2 linked regions of the Notamacropus eugenii genome follow. The protein of the gene in region 1 purifies or fractionates together with the protein of each later gene. This does not show direct contact. Links are inferred from orthologs where the notes say so. Each region holds a gene or a part of one and is shown in the gene's direction. Other genes may lie near its edges. The genes, in order: DUSP4 and MAPK8.

Region 1 (10,304 bases):
TTGGCACAGACAGAGACAGGGAAGCAAGAAGAGGAATGAGTTTGGGGGAGAGGATGAGCTCAGTCTGAGACATACGAGGCCTCATGGCTGGGGCAGTGTAGTCCAGTGGCTAGAGACCCAAACTTCGAGTCACAAGACTTGATTTTTACTATCTCTGAATGAATTTCTTCCCCTCTCTGCACTCTGGTTTCCTCATCTGTAAAAGTGGGGAAGGGAGGGATGGACCAGATGGCCTTGAAGCTCATATCTGGCCCTAGGCCTGTAACATTACAGGACAATCTATTGAGGATGTCCAGGCAGAGATGTCCCATGAGCATCTAGAAAGGATGAGAGAGAGAGAGAGAGAGAGAGAGAGAGAGGCCAGGGCTCCTTTCCCCCAGGGTTTGGCCATTTGCCCCATGACTGTAAAGGTCCAGTGAACACCCTTGTATAGTGGCCTGGCCATCGATGGCCATTGAGGCCTCAAGCCCTAAAGGCCAAAGCTGAGTCATTGAGGTGAAAGCAATCCATGCACACAGGAGGAGGAGGGGCCTATCAGCCCTTGGCAGTGGGCAGCTGACCTGCACCCTCTGGCTGCTCCAGGCCTGGCCTTAGGATCACCCCCTGGACAATGTCCACCAGGGCTGAGGGAGATGGAGCTGTCAGGGTCCTTTTCTCTACATGGGGGCCCAGAGTGAGGACCAAAAAGGCCAGGGAGACTTTGTGCATGGTTCCCATAAACACTGCCCCCTCCCAGGACCCCCCCAAGAACAAGGGGAAGATCTTCCTCTACAGGAACAGGGAGGAGATGGACCAAGAACCGAGGTCTTTCTACTTTCGACCTGAATATCTTTAAGCTAGTCACAGCTCATAGACAAAGACCCAGAAGTGATCTGTGAGGGCAATTTTACAGATAAGGAGACCGAGACCTCAGGGCTGGGGGAGGGGAAGGGACCCTTTTGCCTTAATAACCATCACTGGTTGAAGAGCTGGCCCTTGAACACATTGTCGGGCTCTGGAGCGAGGGCTCCCTCCCCAGCACCTGTGCCCAGCTCCCTAGTAAAGGTGAGGCCTTCCTTGACTCCAGGATGCCCTCCAATGCCCCCTTCTGGACTCTCCAAGCCCATGCCCCCTAGAGCAGTAACTTGGGATGGTCCTGCTCAGCTTCGAGGCTTCCTGGGAGGAGCTCAGGGTCAGACTTCATGGGTCTCCCTAGGAGCAGTTGGGATGAGTGGGGACTTTGGCAGCTGAGGGACACATAGCATTGCTTATGAACTCCTCTATTAAGGCAGAAAGGCTCCAGCCATGGAGGCTCCCAGCCCCTAGGACTAGGGACATCTGTCTCTCTTCACACATACTGCTGGGTTAGGGCAGAAAATGGTGTCGAGACCAGGAGCTTCTGATTGGCAGTGGTCCTTGTTCCGCCTGGACTGACTGCCTCCTTGTTAACACTAGAGAGTACTGGCCAGTCAACGACCCTGGGGCTCCAATCTGCAGCATCCTGGCTCTTTGTCCCCCTTGATAAGGGGTGTTTCCTGGTAGCAAAATGGCAGTTCCTTAAGGACAGGGGTTTGCTTAGATTTGCATCCACAGTTGAGCACGTATTCAGTGTGCTCTTTTCATTCAAGCAGCTACAGGAGAGTCTGGGAGCATCGGTTATCCCCGTTCTACAGATTAGAAAGCTGAGACTCAAAGTAGAAGAGACTAGCATTCAGTGTATAAGCCTTTGAACCTAGCTGAAACTCCAGTCTGGAAAGGTAGCGTTTCCTCTCCTCCACCCCTACCTGGCTTAGTATGTGGATTGGAGGGGATCACATTTCCTCACAAATGGAAAGAAATCCCTTTGAATGGGAGAGAGTGTGATGGTGCTGCCTGGAGGCAGGAAGTACTTATAGCCCTTTAGCTTGGGTTATTTTCTGGACAGCTGTCTCCCAGCATAAGCAAACTTCCATGAGACGGCCTTTGTGCTCCCAGTTCTGAGGAAGCAGCTGACAAGGCCTGGGGGCGGTCACTAGCTTCTCGGCTGGGCAGAGGCCACACCAGTATGGGGAGTGGGAGGAACCTGTGGGTTCAGTGCCAGGTGAGTCAAGAGGAGACAAGGAGAGTGAAGAGAAGAGACTCTGGTCACATGTCTCTGTGTGGCCCAAAAGAGCCAGCGCTGCTAGAAACAGGGACCGCAAAGAAGGTGGCTGGAAAGATGCTAGGGGGAACATGAGGTCCAGTGGGTGCTCTGCAGAGGAGAATGGGGGAGGGAACTGGGACATTGCTTTGGAATCCAAAATCTCCCCAAGACATAGGACCTCAGAGGCCAGCTAGGTTGGCCTGTCCTTCAACCAGAATCCCCACTGGATGTCCCAGACCACAGGACCTACCTCACTCCTTCCAAAAGATGCCCATCCCACTTCCCGACTGTGCCAATCTGGCAAGTCTCACTCTGCCTAACTACAGTTTGCACCCAAAGTGCCAAAACCTGTTCTCCAGGGTTAGGCAGGAGTAGCATCTCCTTCCTATGAATCCATTCACTTAAACGTAATTCCCATGACCTCCACTAAATCTCCTCTCCAGGTTGAAGACTTCCAATTCCTTTGATTAATTCTTATGGAGTTACCAGACAGCCTAGTATAATGGTTAGAGCACAATGAGTGCCTCAGTTTCCTCTTCTGTAAGGTAGGTGTGGTTCAGTTAATCAGAGAAAGACGTGAGGGAAGTTGAGCGTCAAGGAGGAGCCTGATGCCAAGAAACCTGGGCCGAGAGGCTGGTGTAGTCCGGGCCGGGCTGAGGCCCAGAGCAGTGATGGAGAAGAGGAAGCCTGTGGCCTCACTCCTTCTGGCCCTACAGAAATCAGGGAAGCTGGGAGTCACATGAATAGAGGGACCATCTGGACCCATCTCTCTCTTTTCTGGCGCTGTGAGTCATGGGGGCTGTCTGGGTCGTGGTGGAGGGAGGATTTTTTAGTGGTACTGTATGGGTTCTATTTCTCCTTGAGTAACTAAGCCCGCTCCCTTGATTGAAGTTTACTCCAGGGACAGGCTCCCTGGGGGGAGGCAGGAGCCCCAGAAATCTGAGGTGTGAGAGGGGCCTTCCAAGCCATACCTGGGTCGTTGTGCAAAGGGGAGCTCCCACACCAGGCACGGAATGGACTCTAAAGGAACCTTCAGGGCCAGCCATCTGTCTGATCTACTCATTCTAAAGAGGAAAACACTGAGACCTAGAGAGAAAGGCACCTTCCAGAGCAAAACCTGCCGCTTCCTTAGCCAGGGATGCCTCTCCCACTTATCATAGCACTGGGCCCTGTGGGGCACTTCATAAGTGTTTGTAGACTGCCTCATTGACTGAGAACATCTCTACTTTCCCAGGAGACTCTATGGGGTTTCTCCCCAGAGTTCCTGTGGGTCTGGGGGCCAGGTGACTGGCTGCAGTGGGCAGATAGGCTGGAAGGCCATTGGGAGACCAGCCAGTCTAATCCCAAGGAAATGTCCTATTATTGGCCACAGAGCTCATACACCCAAGGGCCTGTCTTCTGGCTTAAATCCAGGATTCAGTTTTCTGAGCCTGCTGGTAAAACAGGCATAGGGGACGTTACAGGGTGGAATCACCCTAGGAAGCTTAGCTGGAGTCATACAGGACTCTCTACTCTGTCTGGTACCTACACCAAAGTTGTGCTTTAAAGACAAACATGGGGCACCTTGACTTGATGTGATGTGATGTGACTTTTGAGGATGACTAGCTTCTGTGATTCAGGGCCATTCCAAAGCAGCCCAAAGCTCGAAGAATGCTCTGAGTCAAGGCAAGGCAGCCTTCCCAGCCTGAGGGAGGCCCTTCCTTGGCACCATAGCAGCCTGAGAAAGAGGATTGGCCGTGGAATCTAGGCTGGGAGAGACTGAATTCAATGAATCTGTTCTCTCTCCAAGAAGCTGCCAAACCCAGAGTTAGGGGCCATCCTGGCCCTGCCTCTCTCTCTCTCTCTCTGTGTGTGTGTGTGTGTGTGTGTGTGTGTGACTGGAGGTAAGTCAGTTCCACTCTCCACGTCTCAGGTATGTCATCTTCTGGTCCCAGCTGTGCTCTGTTGGGGCTAGCCCATTCTGCTTTGAGCTAGCTTTCACTTCCAATTCTCTCACATCCCCAGACTTGTAACCACAGACAAGTGCCTGACCCTCAGTCAGTCAATAGACATTCATGAAGCACCTGCTCTGGTCCAGGCACTGTGCTCACTGCCTTCTGGGTACTTGGTGAAACCCCTGGGTGCTTATCTAGGTGTGAAAATTCTAGTACATTGGCTGTAAAAACAAAGCCACCAGGCTCAGATGTGCCCCTCCCTACTCCTGGCCTGGTGCCAAGTACCTAGTGCCAGTCCTTTTCTCCCAGCCCTCAAGGCTATGATTCAGTGCCCACTCCGAGACTCAAAGGACATTTGAGTCCTTTCTCTCCCAGGTGGGTCATCTACTACCACCATCCTTGTTATGCCCATGAAGAAGCAAGAATGCCAGCTCAGAGAGCAGGCAGCAGCAGGAATGTTCCTACCTACATGGTCACCACTTTCAAGGCAGCTATTGATTTCCTAGGTCATGCCCTTCCTCTCCCATCAGAAGCTGAGCTGGAAAGGATTGGGGACACACAAGGAAAGTGGGTACTAGGGTATCAGGTAGCAGCCCCACTCTGTGGGGCTCAGCAGTGCCTTCCCAGGAAGCTGAGCTGGCTCCCGGGATCCTGGGCCATTGTGAAGTCCGCATCCGACCCTACCCAAGGTAGCGTACCAGAGGGCCATCACTGCTGTCACCTGCCTGTAGACACCCGCTCCGTCACCAACAATCATTTTCTCTTGGGTCCCTGCTCCTTTCACAAGCAACGATTTCATTTCACACTCTCTCCAATAGGGTTCTGTAAAATGAGATGGCCATACTGGACCATGGGTTCTGAACCCCCAGAGCCCCTGGATAGGTTTCAGGGAATCAGTGAATGCGGACGGGGAAACATTCACCTTTGGCTGCCAATGGGATCCTACATCTGTTGTACATGTTCAGAGTAAGGGTCCAAGGCTTCACAAGATCAATTGCCAGGGGGTCCAGGACTCCCCCAAAAGGTTAAGAAACCCTGAATTGGAGATGGATGAGCACATAAAGACAGGCCAGACGACCTGAGATTGTTGGGCCTGGAGGAGGGGACACCAGCCCCATTTTATGGTGTTTGAATGGCCACCCCCTCTGTCTGGGGCTTGTTCTGCTCTTGGCTCCATAGGGCAGAACTTGGAGCTAAGTGGAGAAGCTGAGGAGAGACAGCCTACATAGGCCCAGTCACGTATTGGCACTTCAGAAATGTTGATTGATTGATCATAGATTGATTGACTCTCTTCCTAACAGCCAGGGCTGTCTAAGTGTGGCAGGGTCTGGGGTACGGGAAGGAGTGGGAGCTGAGCCATCCACCCACCAAGCACATCTGCCAGCTGCAACTGACTGACCCTTTATAAGAGACCTTAGGGGTTCTAGGTCTTGGACTGAATGGTCGTGGAGGTTCCTTCCAAGGCAAATTCTGGTCTTAAAGTAGTAAGGGACAGTCCTGCCTCTCCCTCTACCCCGTGTCCACTAAGAGAGTGGGGAAATGGCTGGAAGGCCCAGGTTTCTTTCAGCTCAGACTTTCTAGGTCCCTTGGCCTCAGCTACACCGACCCCCATTCTATCTCTGTCAGGGCCAGGAGGTTATGGGAGGCGCTGGGGAGGGGGAAAGGAAAAGAAAAAGGGGGAGAAGAGGCTCAAGGAGAGAATGGGGGGGAGGAAGGCGCTGGCAGAGTTAGGGGCGGGCCAGAGAGAGAAAGCCTCTGGGCAGAGTAGGAGGAGGGGGCAGACCCGACTGGGACGGGCACCGGGCGCTGGCCTGGCACACCGACTCTCCCACCCCACGGGACCCGACAGATCCCGAGAGAGGAAACGAGGCTTTGCCCCCGACCTCTCAGCCCCGGCTTTGGGACGGCTCCTGGCACCCGCTCGGCGCAGCCAGTCGCCAGGCCGGTGCCAGGAGGGGCGGAGGCCCCCAGCCCTGGGGACGTCTGTCTCCCTCCCCGCGGAGCCGGGCTGCGGCCGGGATCTCTGAGTGTGCCCGGCCCGAGGACTGGCCCCGTGCCCGGAGCGCCCTTCCCTAGTGCCGGCTGAGTGCTGGGCACGGACCCTGGAGTCCAGCGCCGGCGGGCCCTCGGAGATCGCCCCGCGTTGTACAGAGAAGGAAACTGAGGCCCGGCCGCGGCAGCCCCAGCCCCGCAGCCCTGCGCTCGCGGGCCTCTGGCCGGTCCGGATTTGTGAATGGCCCGGAGCCGGGGTTCCTCCGGCCCATTGTGACGTCAGCCCCCGCCCCCCGCCCCCGCCCCGCGCCGCTCCATTCACCAGGGGGAGGGGCGGGGCCCCGAGCCTGCCGGAGGATAAATCCGCGAGGCGCGGGGGCGGCGGGCGCGGGGCGAGGACGCGGCGCGGCGGCCACAGGCTCCGGGGAGGGTGGCCGGCCTGCGGGGGTCATGGTGGCGGCCGGAGAGCTCCGGGAGCTGGAGAGCAGCGCGCTGCGGAGGCTCCTGAGCCGCGACGAGCGCGAGCGTGCCGGCGGGTCGGGCGTCGGGCCCGGCGGGGGCATGTGCCTGCTGCTGGACTGCCGGCCCTTCCTGGCCCACGGCGCGGGCTGCATCCGCGGCGCGCTCCCCGTGCGCTGCCACACTATCGCGCGCAGGCGCGCCCCCGACGGGCCGGGCCGGCTGGAGCAGCTGCTGCCCGCCGCCGACGGGCCGGACGCCGAGGCCCGGGGCCGCCGCCTACGTGCCGGCCTCTGCGGGACCGTGGTGCTGTACGACCAGCGCAGCCAGCGCGCGGCCGAGGCCCTGCGCGCCCCCGACGGCGCCCTGGCCTGGGTGGTGCGCGCCCTGCGGGGGGCCGTGCCACGCGCGCCCGCACCCCTCTACCTGCTGCGAGGTGAGCACGGGGCGGGCGGGGGCGGGGGAGTGCGCTCGGGGGCTCGGACCCTGGTCAGGGGCGGGCTGGATCCCCGGGCTCCCTTTCAGCACCTGGGTTCAAGGCCAGCTCCTCCACGCGTGGCTGGGGTTGGTGGTGGAAAAGCTCGTCGGGTCTGGAGGCAGAGCTCGTTCGCGTCCTGCCTCTGACACTCAGGGCCAGTCCCTTCACGGGAGGGACGGGGAAAAGAGGACTCAGGGATCCTGTGCACCTCTCCCCCCGTCCAGGAAACTCTGGGCCACGGAGCCGTATCTGAGTGCCTGGGGAGGTGGTGTCTTCCTGACCGCTCCCGCCCCCTTAACCCAGGCCATGACCCCCTCCTGAAAACCACCCGCTTCCTTACATCCCAGAACTCAGAAGGCTGGCACCTCCCAGGGTCCCCCCTGGCAGACCAAAGCCCACCTGGCCTCGTGGAGACGTCCCTAGTTTCCCAGCCCAGCCAAGAGGCCCTTGAGCCACAGGGGCTCTTGTTACCACACATGCACCCGGGCCATTTGCCTCATCAGCTGTTGGGAAAGGCCAGTGACCTGTGGTTGAACCGCTAGCATCCCCTGCCATAGCCCTGACTCGCCCTTAGATTCCCCTATTTGCCACCCAGAGCAAAGGAAACAAGCCTTGAGCGTATCCCAGACTGTGAGGGGGAGAGGGCAGGGTGTTAGCTTGGAACTGGGAATGTGGAAGGGGGAAAGAAGCTTGGAACAGAGCTTATAGGAGCTGTGAGGGGGCCTAGAGCAGGAAATGTCAGAGGGGAGAGGGACCAGGGAACAGGAAATGTCTTAGAACAATATCAGAGGTGAAGGGACCCTAACACAGAAGGTGAGGGCTGGAAGGAGCCTTTGAATGCCTTGTGCATAGGATGTGACCATGACAGAGGATCAAAAATGGTGGAGCATCAGAGTGAGGAGGGACCCCATGGTCTTTAAATCATCAGGTTTAACTCTTTTGTTGTACAGACACACACACAGTGGCTGAACCAGGGGACTCTCTTGACTGCTCGCTTCTGGCTTCCTCCTGCTACATACACCATGGTGGCTGCCTGCTGGCTACCAAAAACCAGGGAGAACTGTTGCCTTTTTCAGTCATATGAGAAAGGGCTGCCCCCTGCATCCCCTTCCCCCCAGGTTGTCTAGCATGGGTTGGAGAAGACAGTGCCATTCTCTGAGTTTTTGCTTTTCGAGTGTTTGGGGCTGACTGGGGTGGAGTATTACTTTTTTCAGGGTTCTTGTGATTGACTAGCTGCCAGCAATCTGCATTCTCTCCTGCAGGAGAGAGACAGAGGGGGAGAGGAAGGGAGCGAGGGAAAGGGAGGCACAAAGGGGGAGGGACAGAGGGAGAGGAAGGAGAACACGAACTGTCTGCTGCTGGCATCAGGGTATTTGTCTGGAGACAGCTGTTCAAAGTTCTGTGTGGTTCCTTGGATTGTTTTAGAGCAGAGTTGTCAATCTCACCAGTAACCCCTTGGCCCAAGGTTGGTGAAGACCAAATTAAAATGGAATTGTGAAATATTGAACAAAATAAAAAAAAAAGTACATTGTGTGTGGCTTAATGACCCCTCTTTCTATTTTGAGTTTGGCGCCAGCAATTTCATAGGGTGGGTAGAGCCTCCACTGGTGATGCTCTTCCTCCCGGAGCTATTGATGGGAACGTGAATATTTATAGGATCCTGGATCTATACTTAGCTGGAAGGGGCTTCAGGGGCCATCTGGTCTGACCTCCACTTTTTATCGGTGAGGAAAAACAGGCCCAGAGAGGTTCCAGGGTGGGTTTGTTGTTGTTCAGTCATGTCTGCCTCTGTGACCTTGTTTGGGCTTTCTTGGCAAAGACACCTAGAGTGGTTTGCCATTTCCCTCTCCAGTTCATTTTACAGTTGAGGAACTAAGGCAGTGTTAAGTGACTTGCCCAGGGTCACACAGTTAGTAAGTGTCTGAGGCCAGATTTGAACTCAGGAAGAGGAGACTTCCTGACTCCAGTGCTCTGTGCAAGATTCTGAACCATCTCTCTCCTTTTCCACAACAAATGAAATCTTTATCAAGCATTAGGCTAAAATGGAGGTATACTATGACTATAGAAAGTCCCTTATCAACAAGTGAAATAGTCCCACTAAAAAAGGGAATAAGGTTGGTCTGCCCTGACTGGGCTTGAGAAAGCTGGACGATCTCTTTGTAATTACTGCTTCCCTTTTAGAAATCACCAACCGTCTCTTTAATCGTCCATTTAGGACTTTCCCCTAGTACAAGTCTCAGTAACGTTTAACTGTTACCTTTTGAAACTATTCTAGTTTGCAAGAGTGAAAGAACTGAGGAATGATATAGACATGGGTTACCGTATTACCCAGAAATTGCCTCTTTCATCGGCTAGAGTAGAAATTCAGAAGCCCAGGATGGAGTCTTGGACATAACCTTCCCTACTCCTCTCCTTCCCCTCACTCAAGTCCACCACCACCAGCATGATTGACTTTGAGCCTGCATTTCACCAGAGCCAAGATCTTGGTTTGGATGTGGAAGCTTTGTGCTACCTTCCTGAACATCCTCCAGGAGGAGCTGCCCAAGGTGCTGATCACCTGGCTGTGCTTCTGTTCTTAAGGTTGGGGTACCCTTTGCTATTTCTTCCTCTTGCTATGAAATCTGCCTACTTCTTTCTGACATAAGTACTTCTGATGAGCATATATTTTTTGGACATGCACCACCTGTTTGCCCATCAACCAACATGACAGAGTTGACTCTTATAAAAATGGGACGATTATGCTCAGATACAATCAGAATGAAAGCAAACGTGTAAACATTTCTCTTAAGGAACGGGCACAAAGAATATGCTGCCCATTTGCTAAGCATGTGCTGAATGCTGGCTTTATGTAAACTTGGCAGGGTGCCCTCTTTCTATAATATAATTTCGGTCTGCTAAAACTTGATTGGCATTTGGTGTCACTGTCCTGCTGTCTGGGATAGGAAGACTAGGCATCATCCTAGCTGATGTGGGTAGGAGGCAGCTGCTGTTGGGGAGCATGGACCGGATCAGAGTTAGCCCTTCTTATGTCCCGGACTCCTTTGGGAGTCAAGGTGAAGCCTCTGGATCCCTTCTCAGATACAGATTTTTAAATGCCTAAAATAGAATACACAGCATCACAAATGAAACGATTATATTGAAATTAAGATGTAGTTCCCTCCTTTTGCCCCATTTAAGTTCATGAACTTCCTGAAATTTATCAAAGAATCCCCAGAGTCCTTAGCTTAAGAATTGCTGGACTGGATCATACAGTTACAGGGTTTATCTAGAACAATGCAGTCCAACTGAGCAGTAAATTTTTAAAGCTAAAACTGACTTCTCAAAATCTCTTTCTAAGACC
Region 2 (10,487 bases), on another chromosome or scaffold:
ATACACTTTCAATCAATTCTAGGTTTCCAGATAAATTCTCTCTTTTTCATTTGAAGGCTATTATCTTTTCTTTCTCTGGAAAATAATCTGAGCCATACGTTCAATTGCAGTGGTGAGGGCATTGGTTACCTCCACCTTCTTCTTCTGTTTAGGTAATTGCAGACCAAATTAACCTGAATGAATGCCCCTGGCACAGTTCTGTTAATCTGCACATAGCTGAGGGTAGTTGACCTGACTCTAGGCATAATTATAAAGCATATAAAGTTTGTCTTGGGTGCCCTCTTTCCTTTATCTGTGACTCCCTCCTGGTCTACTCTCTAACTTTCTCTCCCACCCAATCAAAAAAGGTTCTAATACTACTTATTCTACATGATTCCCTTTTCTAGGCATATTTAGAAGGAACATAGTATAGCAGATCAGGTTTTAGACTTAATGTTTGGAAGACCTGGGTTGGAATCCTACCTCCAATTTCTCCTAGCTATATGACCATGGAAATACTTGACAGCCTTGAGCCTATTACCTAATTTATAAAGTAAGCTTAATAGTTAGCAGTAATACTTGTGGGATTGTTGTGAAGCTTAAATCAGATAATGAATGAAAAGCATTTTGCCAACTTTACAGCCCTATATGAATCTCACTTATTTGTATTTTAAACCTTGGGTCTCTCTATGTGGAATAAAGGGATTTGTCTCTTATTAAAGGAATTTGTGACATCAGGGAACAGATGGAAGAATCTGGGAATTTACCATTGCCCCAACATGGCATTGTGCTTACTTGGAAGGATAGCCCTGAAGGTAAACTTAACCTGCTTTTAGTTATTTCAGCATATCTAGATGGGATGAGAGGTGGAGAAAAGAGAGGGAAAGAGATCAATAGGGACTAAACTGTCTATATTTTTTCTCCTTCAGAAGTCATCTTTCCCACCTCCCACTCTCTGGTAGAGGTTGAGTTGGGGCTGGTCTGGCTGCAACTAGGAAAAGACTGTTTTTAGAACTGTTGATATTTGAGGACCCTATGATTTGAGCATCATTAGCTCCTACCAGATGCATCCACTGGGATCATGAGCCTATCTAGCTCAAGCAGAGTGTAGCAAATCCTGCTGTTTCTGTTTTCTAGATTTTCTTCCATACTCCTGTCCATCCTTCCTGCCTCTTCTTCCTACCACCCATTTTCTCTTGCCAGGAGACAAGCGGATATTTGAGGTCCAGAGCCCATTTCCATTGACCTCTCTCTCCTCCATCAATAAAAATAATAGATGAAGTCTATTTTGAAGTTTGTATATGTTAATTCAGTTAATACTTTCCATAATCCAGTCAAATTGGTATTACAGCTACTACCCTACTATTCTCTCTCTCTCTCTCTCTCTCTCTCACACACACACACACACACACACACACACACGCACACACACACACACACAGAAACAGTGAGACAAAGATGAAGAACCTGAGATTCAGAAATGCTAAGTTTCCAATGTCAAAGAGATAGTGAATATCACAGGCAGAATTTGAACCCGGGACCTCCAACTCCAGAACTAGTGTGCATTTTCTGTATCACTTTACCTCTCTACTTTCATAAGCGTTGAGTGGGGAGGTCTATGATGTACAGACCACCATGTTAGGCATGGAGGGAGAGAAAACATTAAGGCACGGCTCCTATCCATAAGGGGTTTATAGTTTTGTAATTGGTCCCAACATGTACACGAATAACTATAAAGCAAAATAGAACCAAATAATTAGACTTATGTCAGTAACAACTAATAAATAGCTGAGGAGATAAGGCTAGGCACTTGCCCTAGATCACTGTTAGTAGGGAACAAATTAAACAGTATCACAAGGAGCCTGAACACTGAACAATCCAATTAGTACACAGAAGCTTCCTTTGTTAGTAATAGCTACAAATACCCTAGGAAGTGTCAACCAGCAGCCTGGGGCAGCTGCATGGCATATTTAAAAACCCAGGTCATAAGTTCACTGTTACTGGTGACAGTCAACCACTCTGCATTGTTTCTGTACATACCAAAATAATTATAGTATCACTGGCATGCATTTCATGGAGGATGGGTTGAGATGGGGCTAAAGCATCAGCTTAGTTTCATAAGTGAGACCAGAAACTGATTTTGATGAGGGGTAAGAATAGGGAGGTCTTGGGGAATTGGAGGTCACCATAAGTGGTAAAGGGTAGATTCAGGAGAAGTAAGAGAATGGGAGGAGTAGAAGGATAGACGGGTTTGGTCAAAGAGAATAATTTCAGAATTCAAAACCTTGGAGGCACAGGCAATTCAAACTGATGGCAAGGTCCAGGATTTGATCAAGCATATGATAGCTAAAGTGAATTTGAGAATTAAGTCATTGGAATGCAGGCAGTGGAAGAGTTGTAAAGTTAAATAGATGGGAGGATCATCAGTATAGATGTTGAAATCTTAAGGATAATAAGAGGTGATGGAGTAGAGGAAAACTGTGTAACCAAGTATGGGATATATTGAGGAAGCTGGCCGAGTCATAGCATCATAGAATCTAGAACTACAAGAGGCTTTCAAGAATAAAGACTATTTACCTCATTTTACAGGTGAGGAAATGGAATCCCAGAGAAAGGAAGTAATTTACCCAACATTATACAAGTAAAAAGTTAGTCAAAATCTGAACTCAGGTTCTCTGACCCTAAATCTATTAATTGCTCTTACTTCTAAAAAGGGAGCTGCCGTATGTATCAATCCATTCCCATGATTCCTTATATCAGAACTCCCTTCCCTCTTCACCACTACTCTATATGTGTTTTCTTCCATTACAATTTAAACTCCTTGAGGGTAGGGGTTGTTGTACCTTTATATTTGCATTCCTTGTACTTAGCATGGAGTCTGGCTCATATCATATCTCTTGAAAGAGGTTTGAGTAGCTGGGTATATGTAGTCACAGAAAGCAAAAACCATCTCTCTCTCTCTCTCTCTCTCTCTCTCTCTCTCTCTCTCTCTCTGTCTCTCTCTGTCTCTCTCTGTCTCTCTGTCTCTCTCTCTCTCTCTCTCTCTCTCTCTCTCTCTCTCTCCTCACTCTCACTCCTTCTCTCCCCTTTCTTCGGCACTCTTCAGTCTACCTGGATCACTTGGGAAGCAGGGTGTGAATGGTTAAGAGTTGTACACCAGGACCACAAGTACCAAAACAATCTACCTTTTATCTACCATCTTTACAAAGCATTCCTCTGTGCTTTCTCAGCTTTATCCTCCTTGAAATTAGCCTTCCTTTTTCATAATTCTTTTGTTTCTATAAAAGTGAAAACTACACACAACCTGTCCCCCTAAAATGTACATTCACAATCAAAAGACTTTGTAGTTTTTGTGCTTTAAAAAAAAAAAGTTAAAATAAAAGACTCACTTGTTGGTAGCAATGCGTGTGAATGCAGGGTGATATAAGTAGTGATGTGTACTTTAAGAAAGAACTGATTTTGACAAATGGTGACCCCAACAATGGTCTGGGCATAGGTGTAAGGAGAAGCCTATGTGTACATGTGTATAGTTGTGTATAACTTGGTAGCTATACATGTTTGATAAGGCAGAGCTGTTCATTTCCTCAGAAACCGGGAGATAGACAGCTCTGTATAAATCAGCAAGTTTATCTTGAAGTGTAGTCAAGACACCAATGACTTGTAAACTCTCCAGAAAAGAGAATCACAATAAGGTAGAGAATAAAAATATTCCTATATTCAAGTCATCTTTATTTTTCTTCAAAGGAAAGGGAGAATTTCTGTTTTTAAAAGAAAGTAATAACAATGGGACAAACAGTGAGAAAAGAATCAGAAAATCCAGTGGATTCCAGAGCAAGCTAAAATGAGCTGGGTGCCTTTAGACAGATTATTTAGTTACTTTGAGAAGACAGAGTGGTTGAATGTATATACAGTGCTGCATTTGGCATTGGGAAGAGTGTGTTCAACTCTTACTAATAAGCAAGAAATAAGTTGTGTGACTCTTGGTAAGACACACAAATTTTCTTTGCCTCAGTATTCTTATCTATAAAGTAGGGATAGTGATAGCTATATTATCTGCTTCACAGTACTATGAGTCTTGAGTGAGATAGTGTTTAAAGCACTTCACACATTTTGAGTATTCTCCAAATATCAGTTATTGTTTTAACGAGAAATTTGGCCTTCTCTATCCTTTCCAACTCTAACATCCATATTTAGATAGTGACTTGAATTGTTGCATACCTTATAGAGTACTAGACTTGGAGTCAGGAAGAGTTGTATTCAAATTCCACTTCTGACATATACTAGCAGTGTGAATGATGGACAATTCATTTAATCTGTCTGAGCCTCAAGTAATGTTCTAGGATTTATCTACTAAATTATACTAGCTAAGATGTGTTGCTTAGTACAAATCTTTCTGTATATATGTTAATTCTTCCCAGTAGAATGGAAGTTCCTTCATGGCAGGGCCTGTTTGGCTTTTGTTCTTGTATTCCCAGCACCTTGCTAATAGAAAGTCATGGGAGCATAGATTTATAGCTAGAAAGGACCTTTATCTAGCCCATCCTTTCTTTTATAAAAGAGGAAACAGAGATTAAGTGACTTGTCCAGGGCCACATAGCCATTCCTCTGTACCAGGCTGTTAAAATGAACAGACATTTATATACCACTTAACAAAGCACTAAGGGGTGTTTTATAGACATATGAGTATATTTGCTGTTTTTGTTGTCATCTTCAACTCTTTGGGGTTTTTTTGGCAAAGATGCTGAAGTGGTTTGCCATTTCCTTCTCCAGTTCATTTTACAGATGAGGAAACTGAAACAAACAGCGCTAAGGGATTTGTTCAGTCACATAGCTAATAGGGATCTGAGGTCAAATTTGAACTCTGGTCTTCCTGACTTCAGGTTCAGGGATCTATCCACTTTACCACCTAGCTGCCACAGTGAATGGATTACTGACATATAGATTATGCTTTACAAAATACCTTTATATATCATTTCATTTGTGATTGGGTTAGGCAATGCAAATATTCTTACTCTCATTTTACAGGTGAGGTACTGGAGCTTCAGTGACTTGCCCCAGGTCACCCAACTAGTAAATGGAAGAGGCAGGAATAAAACCCAAGTGTCCTGAATTCAACGGCTAGTGTTCTTTCCACTACACTCCACACAACAACGACTAAGACAAACATGAATATTGGGGGAGGGAGGTGACTGCGAGGTGGGCCTGGTCAGCAAGAAGTCTCCAATCGAAGGTTTACAAGTGGGCACACAGTAGGTACACAGGTTCTTTTTCAGCTTTATAGTTCTACCTCAGGCTGGCTTCTTTGGCACTGAGAAGCAGCATGGTATTTTGAGTGGAAAGCAGGGTTTTAGTCCTTCCACTTACCAGTTTCCTCTCCTACCACCTAGCTGACCTGGAGGTCAAGAAGAAAAGGCATATTTTGGTTTTTGCCTTAAAAACAAAATAAACTTGGATGCTAGAAGGATCTACAGCTTTGTCATCATGGAAGAACTCCCTCAGATCTCCACCTGGACGTGCTAGCACTAAAGATAAACTCTTGGCAGAGACCCCGGAGTGCGGAGAGACCAGTTCCCCACCTGTTACAGAGGAGGAAACCGAGGCCGGGGAGGTCAAGTGATTTTCCCCAAATTCCCTCTGGTAGTGAGTTAGGAGAGAAATTCTAGGAATTTGCCCGAGGCACCTGGAGGCTGAGTGACGAGACCAAGGTCAGAAGAGGAATTTGAACCGAGTCTTTCTGACAGCACATTATTCGTTACCTTTCCTCTTTATTCTTTCTTAATTAAATGCTATCTAAATGTGAATTGTCAGTATCAGCCACTCAGCCGGGAAATTTACAAAAACGTAGTCCCCGCCCCCATCGGGCCCAGCTCTGGCCACGCCCCTCATTCATACTTTCTTTTTTGCCCCTCCCCCTATTCAGATCCGCCTTTGCTTCTCCCCGGCCTCTCCTCTCCGGCCACCTGGGTCAGCCCTCCCCGCACTTCGCTCTTGCTACGGCTGGCCCCGCCCCCCGGGATCCGAATCGCCCCGCCCCTTCGTGGGCGGGGGAGCGGTCAGGGGGCGGGGCCCTGCGGGATGACGTGGAAGCGTGCGCGGTGACGGCCGGCGCTCTTGTTCCTTAGCCGAGCGGTGGAGGCAGGAGGACGCGGCCCGGAGCCCGGACGAGCCCGGACGAGCTCGGTGGACCGGCCAGCCAGCCGCTCGAGCTCGGGCTCGGACGCCTGTCCCGTCCTCCCCTGCCCCTCGGCCGCCCCCGCGGCGACCCCGGGGGCCTTCCTCCCTTCGGCGCGCGCTTCGCTTGCCTGGGTGAGTGCAGAGCCGGGCCCAGAGCCCGGGGGCGGCTCCTCCGGTCGTAACGGCTGTGTTTATGTTATTGTGCCGCCGCCGCCGCCGCGGTGACCCCCTCCGGAGGGGGAGGGGAAGGAGGAGGAGGGGGCGGCGAGGGGGAGGGGCGCGCGTCCCCGCGAGGGGGGAGGGGGCCCGCCTGGGGACCGGGGAGAGGATGCCGGGGGATCCGGAGAACAATAGCGGGGTGAAGGGGGCCAGGAGGGGGAGGGGGCGGGGAGGAGGACCCAGAGGGGGAGGGGACGGGGCCGGGGGCGATGACGCGCTGCTGCCCCACCGTTTTCCTCCCCGCCCCCCCACCGCCTCCAGCCCCGGGACCTCGGGAGCCCGAGAGCTAGATGGGTACCCACCTCCCTCCTCCCGCGGCGGCGGCCCCGAAAGGGTGGTCTGTGCTTAGCGTATTTTCCCCACTTGCATATTGTATTTTTTAAATGGCCAGGGATGGGGGAGAAGTTCTCAAAGACTTTGGGGGAGGGGGGAGATCTGTAGTCCTTGAAGGCCGGGACGGGGACTGGAAGCGTGCAGCGAGTACCTCGTAGATCCTGGGTATGTAAAAAGAAAATGGTCTTATCATTCCCATCCTGGACCATGTGTAGTGGCTGAGTTGACGCTCTAGGGCATCCTGGGTTTTTGAGTGTGTGTGTGTTTTTGTTTGCTTTTTGTGTTCTGTGGAGCCTTGTTTATGCCAGTAATGTAAAGCACAGATGCATCAGTTATATGCAGATACATCAATGCAAAAAAAAAAAAAAATTATTGGTACCGGCGATGAGTCCTCGGCCGGTGAATGGCAAATGGACTGTTTTAGCTTGTGGTGTTCTTATGAGATTTTTAAAATCTTAAGTAAGGAACTGATCTTTTCTGTATATCTCTAAACGCTTATGCTTATAGTCCCTGGCACGTAATACGCGTTTAATGATTGTGTCTTGACTGACTTGACTGTCCGAGTCACACTTTGGACTGCAGCTGTGTTATTTGGAGTTTGGGTAAATTAGTAAAAGCATATGGTCTTTGTTTTTTCTTTTCTTGTCTTCCCTCGTATATATTCTGTGAATTCAATAACATTCATCACCATCCTATTAAACTGTGCCCAATAAGTGCAATTTGCTTAAATTAGGGATAGGAACTGGACTATTGATTGTATTCCCATAGGGAACTCTCAGGTAAGGAAATTCCTTCTGATAATTGTAGGTTGGTACCTCTTCTGCAGTTGACCATCTCAGATGCCTAGGTGCTGAGAGGTTGTGACTTGCCTGGGATTACAAGGGCAGTATCTGTCAGAGGAGGGACTTGAACCTGTGTCTTGATGATTCCAAGGTCAGCCTGTCAGCTATGCCACAATAGCTAAGGTAAAAATAAAACAATCAAAAAAACCTTCCCACTAAGTGCAATTAATTAACTTATTTAATTCCGAGCTCATGCTACTTTTTTTTTGTTAATGTGGCTTCTTGGCAGTCATCCCACACTATGTCAGAGCTAGGAGTAGAAGGTAAAATGAAGTAGTTCAGTGTGGTATGTGAATGTTGCCTTGTCTACAGTCATAGCCCTGATTTATCCTTAAATAAAGCTATAAGATAACCTAGTGTTTAAGATCCTCATTTGTGAAATGAAGGGACTGTTTCCCTGACTCCTTTTGTCATTAATATTCTATGATTCCATGCAAGGTGCTTTTACTATTTTTTTTAAGTTGGAGGATTAAATGTTCCAATATATTAGAAACTGAAGGATTAAATGTGAACTGAAATTGCAGTTTTTGAAAAATTTTGCACAACATTTTGTCCGTGCATTTTGGTAAGCCACATACAGTTGTGACTAAGTGGCCATACTTTCATATGTACTACCTATCACCAGAGTAGGGGGATCTTGAACAACTTTGTTGAAGTGTTATTGCTTCAGTAAATTGACCTTCTTAAAAGGAACCTCATAATACTAAAATCAAGAATGTTCGGATACAGTAAATAGTTGTCTGAATGTTTGTATTATGAAAGGTACAAGTTCTAATTATTAAGCCAGAAGTATTTATGGCACTAACATATTTTCAATTTGCTTTGTTATAAAAAAAAAATTAAAGGAAGCATGTGCTCCTTAAATTGCAGGTAATGAAATTTTATATTTTTATCTCTGCATCACAGTCATTTCTCATTTTATATCCCCTTTCTTCCTCCTCCTTAAGCCCTCTCTTGTAACAAAGAAAAATAAACCAAAGTGATGGATAAAACCTGTGTACACAAAATTTGATACCCACGGTTCAGTGTTCTGCAATCCACTTTCCTTCTGAGAAGAAAACTATTTTATTCTCTTCTCAGAACCAAGATTTTTCATTATACCCATTGAGTTCAGCTTCCTTTTAATGTTTTTTTTACCTTGACATTATTGTTGTGAAATTGTTCATCTGGTCCTGTTTTTCCCACACCTGTATCACGTCATAGAAATCTTTGTATATTTCTCTGAATTCTCCATATTAGTGCTTCTTACTGTATAATATTTCATTAATAGATTACAGTATATATTTACCCCTTTGATGGGCATCTACTTTTTTTTTTTTTAAGCCAGCCAGTTCTTTACTGCCACAGTGGGAGTGCTGCTATGACTTGTTACATAGAAGGCCTTTCTTTCTGTCATTGACCTCTTTGGACTCTCTGCCTGATTACAACTTCCTGATCAGAGGTCATGAACAGCTTGGTGGCTTTTCTTACATAATTCCAAAATCATTTTATAGCATGTTTGAGTCAGTTCAGAGCTCCAAAAGCAAGGTGTAGCAGTTATTAAGTATCCCCTATGTGCCGAGCCCTGTGGATACGAAGACAAAAATAGAAAAATTCCTTCTCTCAAGGAATTTATATTCTATTAGGGGAAACAGGCTGAACTAAAAGATGGAATACAAAACAGAAAGTAATTTCTTGAGTGAGGGCATTAACAAAGGACAGGATTAGGAGAGCTCCCTGTTCAGAGTATTCCACTTGAGCTGACTTTCCAAGGCAGGTAGCATTTCTCTGAGCTAGAGAAGAAGAGGGAGCTCATTCTAGACAAGAGTGATTGATCAGCCTGTGCAAGGCACAGAGATGTTAGGTGGCATATTGGGTGTGAGAAACAGCAAGTGTGGAGGAGAGTCGTGTTTAGTAGGACTGAGTAAGTACACTGGAGACTGGTTGTGAAGGGCTTTGAAAGCCAAATGAAAGAACTGGTATTATATCCTAGAAGCAAGAGGAAGCTGTTGGAGCTTACTGAGCAGGAGAGTGACATAGATGTGTGCCTTAGGAATATCAGTTTGGCAACTGTATGGAAGCTTGTGGATTGGAGAGACTAGATTTGGGGAGACTACTAGGCTATTACAGTAGTCCAGGGCAAAAGGTGATGAGGACCTGGACTAAGGTAGTGGCTGTGTGAGTGGAGAGAAGATGATATGAGGGGCACTGTGGAGGTAGAATCAGTGAGGCTTGTCAGCTGATTGGGGGTGAGGGAAAAACAAGAATGGAGGATGACTGAATTTGGGAACCTGGGTGACTAGAAGGATTGTGCAACCCTTAACAGAAATTTGGAAGTTAGTAAGAGGATGGATATGCGGAACTACCCATTAAGCAGTTAGTAATGTGGGACTGAATTCAGAAAAACTGGGAATGTGTATGTCTGTCTGTACATGACACACATATACATATACACAAACACATATCCAGAAGACTCAGGTAGACACACCTACACATATGTATATGTGGCAGGGAGGGTACCTATTTGGGAGTCTTCTGGATGGAGCTGATAATTGAGCCCATGGGAGCTGATGAGACCACCAGGAGCAAAGAGAGAAAAGAGAAGAGCCGGTTGGGAGGATGATGTTCTAGGAAAAGACATGGTGAAGGAGCAACTGAACAGTTAGTAGGATAGGAAAGAACAGGAATATGAAACCCAAGGAGGAGATGATATCAGGGAGGAAGAGAATGGCCAATAGTGCTAAACATTTCAAAGAGAAGCCAAGAAAGGCATTTAGGAGATCATTAGTAGCCTTGGAAAGAACATTTTCAGGAGAGCAAGGTCAGAAACCAGATTGAGAAATGAGAGTAGAAGCAGTGAAATAGTTTTTTCCTAAGTGTTTGCCTGGGAAAAGGAGGCAAAATATGGGATAGGAGACCTCCAATAGCTTGAGGAAAACAATTAGTGAAGGCTCTTTTAAG

What was found.
Region 2: the proteins of DUSP4 (region 1) and MAPK8 purify together in Homo sapiens (affinity purification with western blotting; 3 studies listed by BioGRID and IntAct, with this or other methods). This does not show direct contact. The link is inferred for Notamacropus eugenii from reciprocal best matches to the Homo sapiens genes DUSP4 and MAPK8.

The regions. Positions count from the first base shown.
Region 1 is NC_092878.1:167,815,947-167,826,250, forward strand, and holds the start of DUSP4 (dual specificity protein phosphatase 4), read left to right. Parts: upstream 1-6,420; 5' UTR 6,421-6,477; coding exon 6,478-6,922; intron 6,923-10,304. UniProt on the Homo sapiens protein: Regulates mitogenic signal transduction by dephosphorylating both Thr and Tyr residues on MAP kinases ERK1 and ERK2.
Region 2 is NC_092872.1:219,737,387-219,747,873, reverse strand, and holds the start of MAPK8 (mitogen-activated protein kinase 8), read left to right. Parts: upstream 1-6,150; 5' UTR 6,151-6,285; intron 6,286-10,487. UniProt on the Homo sapiens protein: Serine/threonine-protein kinase involved in various processes such as cell proliferation, differentiation, migration, transformation and programmed cell death.